Linked DNA regions of Kluyveromyces lactis. The protein of the gene in region 2 interacts with the protein of the main gene of each other region in a pairwise test. Links are inferred from orthologs where the notes say so. Each region holds a gene or a part of one and is shown on either strand. Other genes may lie near its edges.

What was found.
Region 1: the proteins of HOM3 (region 2) and FPR1 interact in binary tests that used the Saccharomyces cerevisiae proteins (3 or more experiments, as listed by UniProt). The link is inferred for Kluyveromyces lactis from reciprocal best matches to the Saccharomyces cerevisiae genes HOM3 and FPR1.

What each region holds. Positions count from the first base shown.
Region 1 is NC_006037.1:1,009,264-1,012,249, reverse strand, and holds FPR1 (peptidylprolyl isomerase FPR1), read left to right. Parts: upstream 1-1,438; coding exon 1,439-1,783; downstream 1,784-2,986. Other genes in the region: EAF7 (Eaf7p), read right to left, coding at 2,082-2,986. UniProt on the Saccharomyces cerevisiae protein: PPIases accelerate the folding of proteins. It catalyzes the cis-trans isomerization of proline imidic peptide bonds in oligopeptides.
Region 2 is NC_006042.1:2,555,804-2,560,246, reverse strand, and holds HOM3 (aspartate kinase), read right to left. Parts: upstream 2,070-4,443; coding exon 501-2,069; downstream 1-500. Other genes in the region: CBR1 (cytochrome-b5 reductase), read left to right, coding at 1-192; KLLA0_F27577g (cytochrome b5-like heme/steroid binding domain-containing protein), read right to left, coding at 3,067-3,585. UniProt on the Saccharomyces cerevisiae protein: Phosphorylates aspartate, the first step in the biosynthesis of amino acids that derive from aspartate (the aspartate family of amino acids), including methioinine and threonine, the latter of which is a precursor to isoleucine.

The DNA.
Region 1 (2,986 bases), on a different chromosome or scaffold from region 2:
GCTTGATTAACTGATCAATTAAGACTTCGAGACTTTTTTCCTAAAACTGCATGTTACTTGACTTACCTCAGACAACCATTCAGCAAGGAATGGGATTCGAGTTGAGAGAATATTCCGAAAATAGCGAGATCAAGACGGATATGGACTTACAATAGTGTGCTCGGTATTAAACCTTGCACCAGAAAACTGTGGGTATCTTGTGAAATGACTACAGTGTCTTATGTGAAATTCCAATACATCATCACTAGGAGCAGGTTAGTTGGCTGAAAGTGGTAACAAAAGAAAAGAAGTTTGAATGTACAAAGAAGAAACGATCAACGCGAATAACTTTATTTCAGCCTGTGGGCCTAGAAACAGTATGAAACAGTGCACGAGTCGAAACTTGCTTTCAGTGGTATTAACAGAATAGGCAAAAAATGCGGAAGAACCATTTGATCCGTCATTGAGAAACTGTGAAGACGAAATCGGAGAACTCTTTAGTCCACCTTTCATTCGATAGCCCATGGTTACGGAACTGAATTGCAAGACTATGTACATTTTTGTACGACGTAACATATTCGCTGGGCAGTTTCTTTTCTGCGGCTCAGTCAACGGAATATTTTGCAATACTAAATGAAACTTCATAACATGTTAGCTAATAAGCCGCTCTAAGTATCACCAATTCCGTTTATGAATAAGAGTCGATGTGCTACTGTGAATTCACATCTACTCGACTACAAGTTGACCAGCACAATTAGGATCAACCTGCTTTTCCAGAAATGTTCTCTTCTAGACCCAGTAACCAAGAATTTGCTCACTTTCCCTTAACAGGTATCGAGGCGTTAATTCTAAATAAAGCAAATGAGGGCTGAATTACAAAGCACCATACCTCAAAGTTTTGAAAACCTGGCTCTTGCTATAGTTATTCACCTTTTAATTATCAAGCAATTATAAATCTCAAACACTTCTGGACATACAGATGCGGACAGAGCATAATAGCAAATGAGATATTTCGTAGGATATTCGATGTAGTACGGCTTAGTGACGTCGGTTGTTGTTCAGGAATGTACAATTTCAGGTGATTTAAAAACCCTATGCTAAAAGGTTCGATGATCTTTATTTGAACTGACCTGAATGTTGGCTGTGCTGCCGTTGCGTCTGCTCAAACCTCTTACAGGCATGTTTCCGCGAAAAGTGATTGCTTAAGTAAGAAAGAAAGAATGCAGTCACGTGACAAATGCTGAAAGTCTTGAAGTCATTAAATACGTTACCACTGCTTCTAGAAATCATTATCGTTCAGAAAACAAAAAGTTTTCATTTCTATAATAAGGATTCCTACATTCTACACGAAACTGTTGCAATTACGAGGCCAATTGAGTGCTATTTTGTGTCAGTTTAATCCGTTATTGTATTGCAGTTTTAAAATAACTCAGCTATCACACATCAAACAGCAGAAACAATGTCCGAAACAATTGAAGGTAACGTTCAAATTCTAAGATTATCACCAGGTGACAGTACCAACTTCCCAAAACCAGGCGATTTGGTAACAATCCATTACACTGGTACTTTGGAAAACGGTCAAAAGTTTGATTCTTCCGTTGATAGAGGTTCTCCATTCCAATGTAACATTGGTGTAGGTCAAGTTATCAAGGGTTGGGATGCTGCTATTCCAAAGTTGTCCGTTGGTGAAAAGGCAAGACTAACTATCCCAGGCCCATACGCTTATGGTCCACGTGGTTTCCCAGGTTTGATCCCACCAAATGCTACTTTAGTCTTTGATGTTGAATTGTTGAAGATTAACTAGATGTATAATGTCATTCTTCTGAATAAAACACATACTATTAATTTCCTTCACATTTTTTCTTTGGTTTCTCCCTTGATTCCTTCCAATTGGTCCCATCCATTATTATTATTATAGCTTTACATCTTTCCGTACCTTCTCATCAACCTTTCAACATGGGAATTGCTATCAAATTGTAGCCGTAGTGTTTGTATGCTTCCATTTTAACATTCAATTTTTGTACATCAACGAAATGCCTATAATATAAACCATTAGCTATATTATGTTGTTATTGCATTATTGAAAAAACAATCAAGAACAACTACTTCCTGCTTCTAAGCCTGCTCGAGAGCCTTGTAGTTGGTTTTGTTATGGATTTTCTTCTTGTTCTCCTAGCTGGAGAATCCACGTCGGCAAGATCTTCAGGAACTTCCTCCGCAGCGGCAACTTTTTGTTTCTTAGGGCGCGGCTGTTGAGATGATTCCGTTTCGTTCTCTTCTGCTTTCCCTGTCGGCGAATTAGCTGATTCCTTGGCAGCACCTTCAGATTCATCAGCAAATGTGACTTGTTTTGTAGCTGTAGTATCTGCGGCATCAGCAGTCGATTCTTTTTCGCTACCAGATCTCCCTTCTGTATCGTGTTCGACATCTTCCTTTTCATCGGTGTTTCCGCCATGGGGTTGGTCTTCTTTGTTTTCACTTTCGTCATCAATGCCTCGCTTTTGTGAACGTGTCAACCTTGTAGAGCGTCTTGTCCTTGGTTTCTTATGAGCATCGACAGGTTCATCGACAGGTTCATTCGCCAGTTCGCTCACAGATTCTCCAACACTGACTGGCGGAGTGGTCGCCATTTCTTGTTTCGCCTGTACATTATTTTGCTCAGTATCCTTTTCATCGATATCCTTTTCTCGTTCCCGTGGCTCTTCTGACTCTTGTTCTACTTGCGTATCCTGTGATTCCGCACCCTTCAGTTTTGCCTTGTCATCCGCAGAAGCGGTCTCCTCTTGCTTAATATCTTCCACCTCATGATCCCTAGCATGTTCTAACATAAGTTCTCCATAATCTTCCCACGATAGTTCAAATTCCGTCTCTTGCTGGAGTCTATTTTGTAATGGTATTATATTTCTCTTAAGCTCGTCACAATTGTCAACATCATTGTCACTGTCATCATCATTATCTAGTTGAGCGTCCCCTTCTGTCTTTTTGTTTGTAGTTTCGGTTGGTCCGT
Region 2 (4,443 bases):
TGGACTGGTGGTGTTGGGTATATCACCGTTGATACTATGAAAGAACGTCTTCCAGCTCCAGCTGAAGGCGTCCAACTTTTGGTGTGCGGTCCGCCTCCTATGGTTTCATCTATTAAGAGAAATGCTGTCACTTTAGGTTACGAGAAAGCTAAACCTATTTCTAAGATGGGAGACCAAATCTTTGTATTTTAAGACAATCAGAATACATATCGCTGGTTCAGTATTATGATGTAAGTAAAATCTTTATCCAACCTGTAAATTCATTATAAAAGACGGGAGAATGTCGGTAATTTTTTTTTTCTATATTGTATCATTACTTAAAAGACTCTAGCTCCGGCACCTATATCATCCAAACGTACTGTTAAGAGCCTATTAAACTATGTTAAAGAACATCTTTGTGCAAAAATGCCTATCACAAGAACATCATAAACTACTTCTTTCTATGGAAAATAGTTTCCTTTCTTTATTTTTTTCGGTCTATTGATTGATCTAATCAACATCTATAAAGACATTTGCTTGATTTGTTCCAACCTTTCATTCACTGCTGATTCAAAATTTTCATTCTGCGGAGAATCTAATAATTTTGCATGAATAGACTGAAGAGCTCTCACTGCATTGCTCTCATCAATGACACAAGAGATATTAATTTCATTAGCACCTTGAGAAATCATTTCAATATTAATATGTTGTTCAGCTAAGGTTGTAAACATAGTACCAGCAATACCAACAAATTGCTTCATCTGCTTACCGACCAGAGAGACAATTGCCATTTTCTTAATAACATCGACTGTACCTAGTCTCTTTAACTCTTCAACAGCACACCGTAAAGCCTTTAGGGAATCTGAATCAGGTACAGGAAGGGCCATAGAGACGTGGACCTCAGAAGTAGAAATCAAGTCCACAACTAGTTTATATTTATCCAACGTAGAGAACATTTCTGCCAAGAACCCATGAGATAACGTCTTCTTATTAGAATGTATATTAACCACAACAATATCAGATTTAGTAGTGATGGCCGTAGCGCCTTTCTTTTTGGATTCGAAGATAGAGGATGTTAACGCTACAGGTGGATGTGGAGGTGTGGATTCACCCTTCTTGGCTTGATCGCTTGGGTAAATAATAGTACCGTTACCCTTAGGGTTTTGGACGTTTTTAATTCTAATCGGTATGTGAGTTCTGATAACCTGTTCCATGGTGAATGGATGAATGACTTCTGAACCGTAGTAAGTTAACTCAGCAGCTTCGTCGGGTGTAACTGTGTCTAACAGTCTTGCTTGGGGTACTTTTCTTGGATCGGCGGTGAAGATACCATCAACTTCTTTCCATACTTGTAATTCGTCAGCATTTAGTGCGACGGCGATCAAGGCGGCGCATAGATCAGTATATCCTCTACCAACACCATTAAGTAGACCCATTGGAACGACTCCAAAGAACCCAGTAATGACAGGAATGATCTTGGTGCCATTCTCGGTTTCTTTTAAGATCGGCGATAGCTTCTCTCTAAAAGCGGTGACGAGGAAGGTGTAGAAACTATTATCCAGAGTACCTTCCTTACATTCGTAATCACTTGGAACAATAAAAGAGAGATCCACATATCTCGCATTGACACCATTATCCTGACAAAGAGCAGTCACATACAAACAGGATAGTTTCTCACCCAATGACATAACTAAATCCAAAGTTCTTGTAGACACCTCACCCAAGACTTGAGAGGCATCCAGATATCTCCTGACAATATTTATTTCTCTCTTGGTATCCTCAATTAAAGTCTCTTGGATGGTAATATCCTTGACAGACTCTTCTGCATTTGCGACATGATCTCTCTCGACTAAATCAAGAACGTTCTTATATTCATAGTTGTTGTTTGACGCTAGATCACATGCCAATAATAATCTGGAAGTAGTACCTTCAGCTTTAGTGTACGAAGACCTAGCAGAACACACGACAGCCACGTTATTGTCGTATTCCTGAGAGTACACTTTGATGATTTCATTTACAATCTGCTTGGAAAATTTACCAATACTGGTACCACCAAATTTCTGTACAACCCAGTTACTAGTTTCAATCATCACGTAATCGATACTTTAAGTTATTTTATAGAAAAGGCCTGTTACTACTTCCAAAGGGTATAGCAGTCTTGTAAACACACAGCTGAGGACAATGTGCTAATGGGTTTTTGTCGGAGCTTCCTTTATTTATATGAATTTCATTCAAACCAAATGACTCAATTACTTTTTGTCAAAATCTTTCTAGTTTTTCACAATATATTTTCTAGAACTGTGAGGTTCGATGGAAAATTGATGGGATAATTATGCCATTTTCACGTGATTTACGAAAATGGGAACTATATGGTAGACAGGTATATGCCCTTTAAGCGGGGTGATTCAAGAGCATGCAATGGAAATTGTTCGCTGATGCTGCATGATAAACAAAATTTATTAGATGGAGCAAGTGTGGGCTACACTAGCATTGAAAAAGAATAAACAAAATAATGAAATGGAGTTATGATAATGGTTATGAATAAATAGTAATGGAACAGTAAAGAACAACATAAAATTGTGAGTTAATTCTCCTGATTTTTATTTGTAATTTCAATATGTTATACCTATAACTTAAGCGGATGTACGTATTGTAATAGCTGTGTTATAGTTTGATTCGCGTTTTATCGCTTTTCAGCTTGGCTAACTTTAAGAAGTTTTGAATTGAAGTGACAAAGGTAGTGGAAAATATAATGCAATGATGGAATGAAGTAGGAACAGAATCGAAACGTCCAATAGCTCCTAACATTAGAAAGGTCACTGATAATGATTCGATGAAACAAAATGAGAGGAAATGAGAAAGCTATGGTATAGTAACGTTGTAGTTTGTGGGTACTCGAATATTATTAAATGGATTGGCACTGTTTGCCAGAATTGATCCATTATAAGATATGCGGCTTCCCATATAGAAGCTTAATCAAAAAAAGTTTAATAATTGAAGTGAATTTCGCGAATAACTGGCTGAATGTTTTATCTTTGCGGTTGGCTCCGCATTTTCAAGAGTTCGTAGACTTTGGTTTTAGTTGCGTCAATCCATCCAAGCGGGAACTCCATAATCATTATTATCAATGATATTATGATCATGACCCCAGTGAATAAATCCTAATGTAAGCACACAGAAGAAAATTATTGTACTGAACAACCATATCCTAGTGTCTCTTTCCAGCAAAAAGAATTTTCTTATTGCTTGATAAATGCTAGTGATCCAAAGTAAACTTGACGGCAGGAAGCTTGCACTCAAGAAATACGGAAGTGAAGAATCATCTTCGTTGTCGCTGTTGTGATTTGATTTGGAATTAGGTAAATATAATGTTCCCTTTAAAGCACCAGGGTCTAAGTCATATGCTAGGGATTCCATAGAATGACCAATGTCATCGAATTGCAGAGTTGAGTCTTTACCTGCGTATTTCAAAAGAACTTGAGCACCTCCTGGATGCTTGTGAAGGAAACTGGTTATATCGTACACTTTGCCATGAATCACGGTCCAACAGTCGGACCGCGAACTATGTCGTGCTACTTCATCCATAGTTATTAGCGGGTCTCTCATTTTAAATAAATGAAATGCTATGAATGCTGTACCAAAAAAAGAATAAAATTCTCAGAAAATCTAAGCAGAAACACAAAAATAATCACCAATCAATTGAACTTCCACGAATATATAGTGACGGACTGTTGATCGATTAGTCGAAAGCAACAAAACGGAAACAAAACAATTGTTATAATATTGAACCCAAAAAAAAAAAAAAAATTGAATGGGTCAATCTAGTTGATAGTACTGTTCCTCGTGGAAGCGATATAGCAGAGCTAGCAATAATAAACTTGAAAACAACAGTAAAAGCAATCAATGTCTCATCCAATGGGCCCCCTGGTAATAATATCAGTAATTACAGTGATTCCTTTATATTCTCTAGTTGGAGATACAGCTGGTGATATACGTAACAATTGGACGGTAACAAATGGAAAAGAAAAAGATCTGTGATGAGTGGAGGAATGCCTGTTGCCTGTATAATAGTACTCGAACAGATGTAAAATAAATAACAGACACAAACACAGTATGCACTCACGGCAAAATGTGCTCTGCATATAAGTTATCAATCCAGTCTTGGAACTCACCAGTCTTCCTCCTTCAACTACATTATAAAAGGTAGACATAAGTTGCGAAATTAAATACTTTTCTTAAATAAAAAAGAATCTTATGTATGTTGAGAGGAAAAAAAGGATCGATGCAAATCGATAAAAAAAACATATGTCTGTTCCATGGACTATAAAGAAGGTGTAATCGCACAATAAAATCAAAGAATGCGTTTTTTCTTTTCGTTTCTTTTGTGTGTTGCAACAAAACTAAAAAGCGTTTTTTTGCAATTAGATGAGTAGATTGCCGAATTTAACATGCGAAATTTTGTTA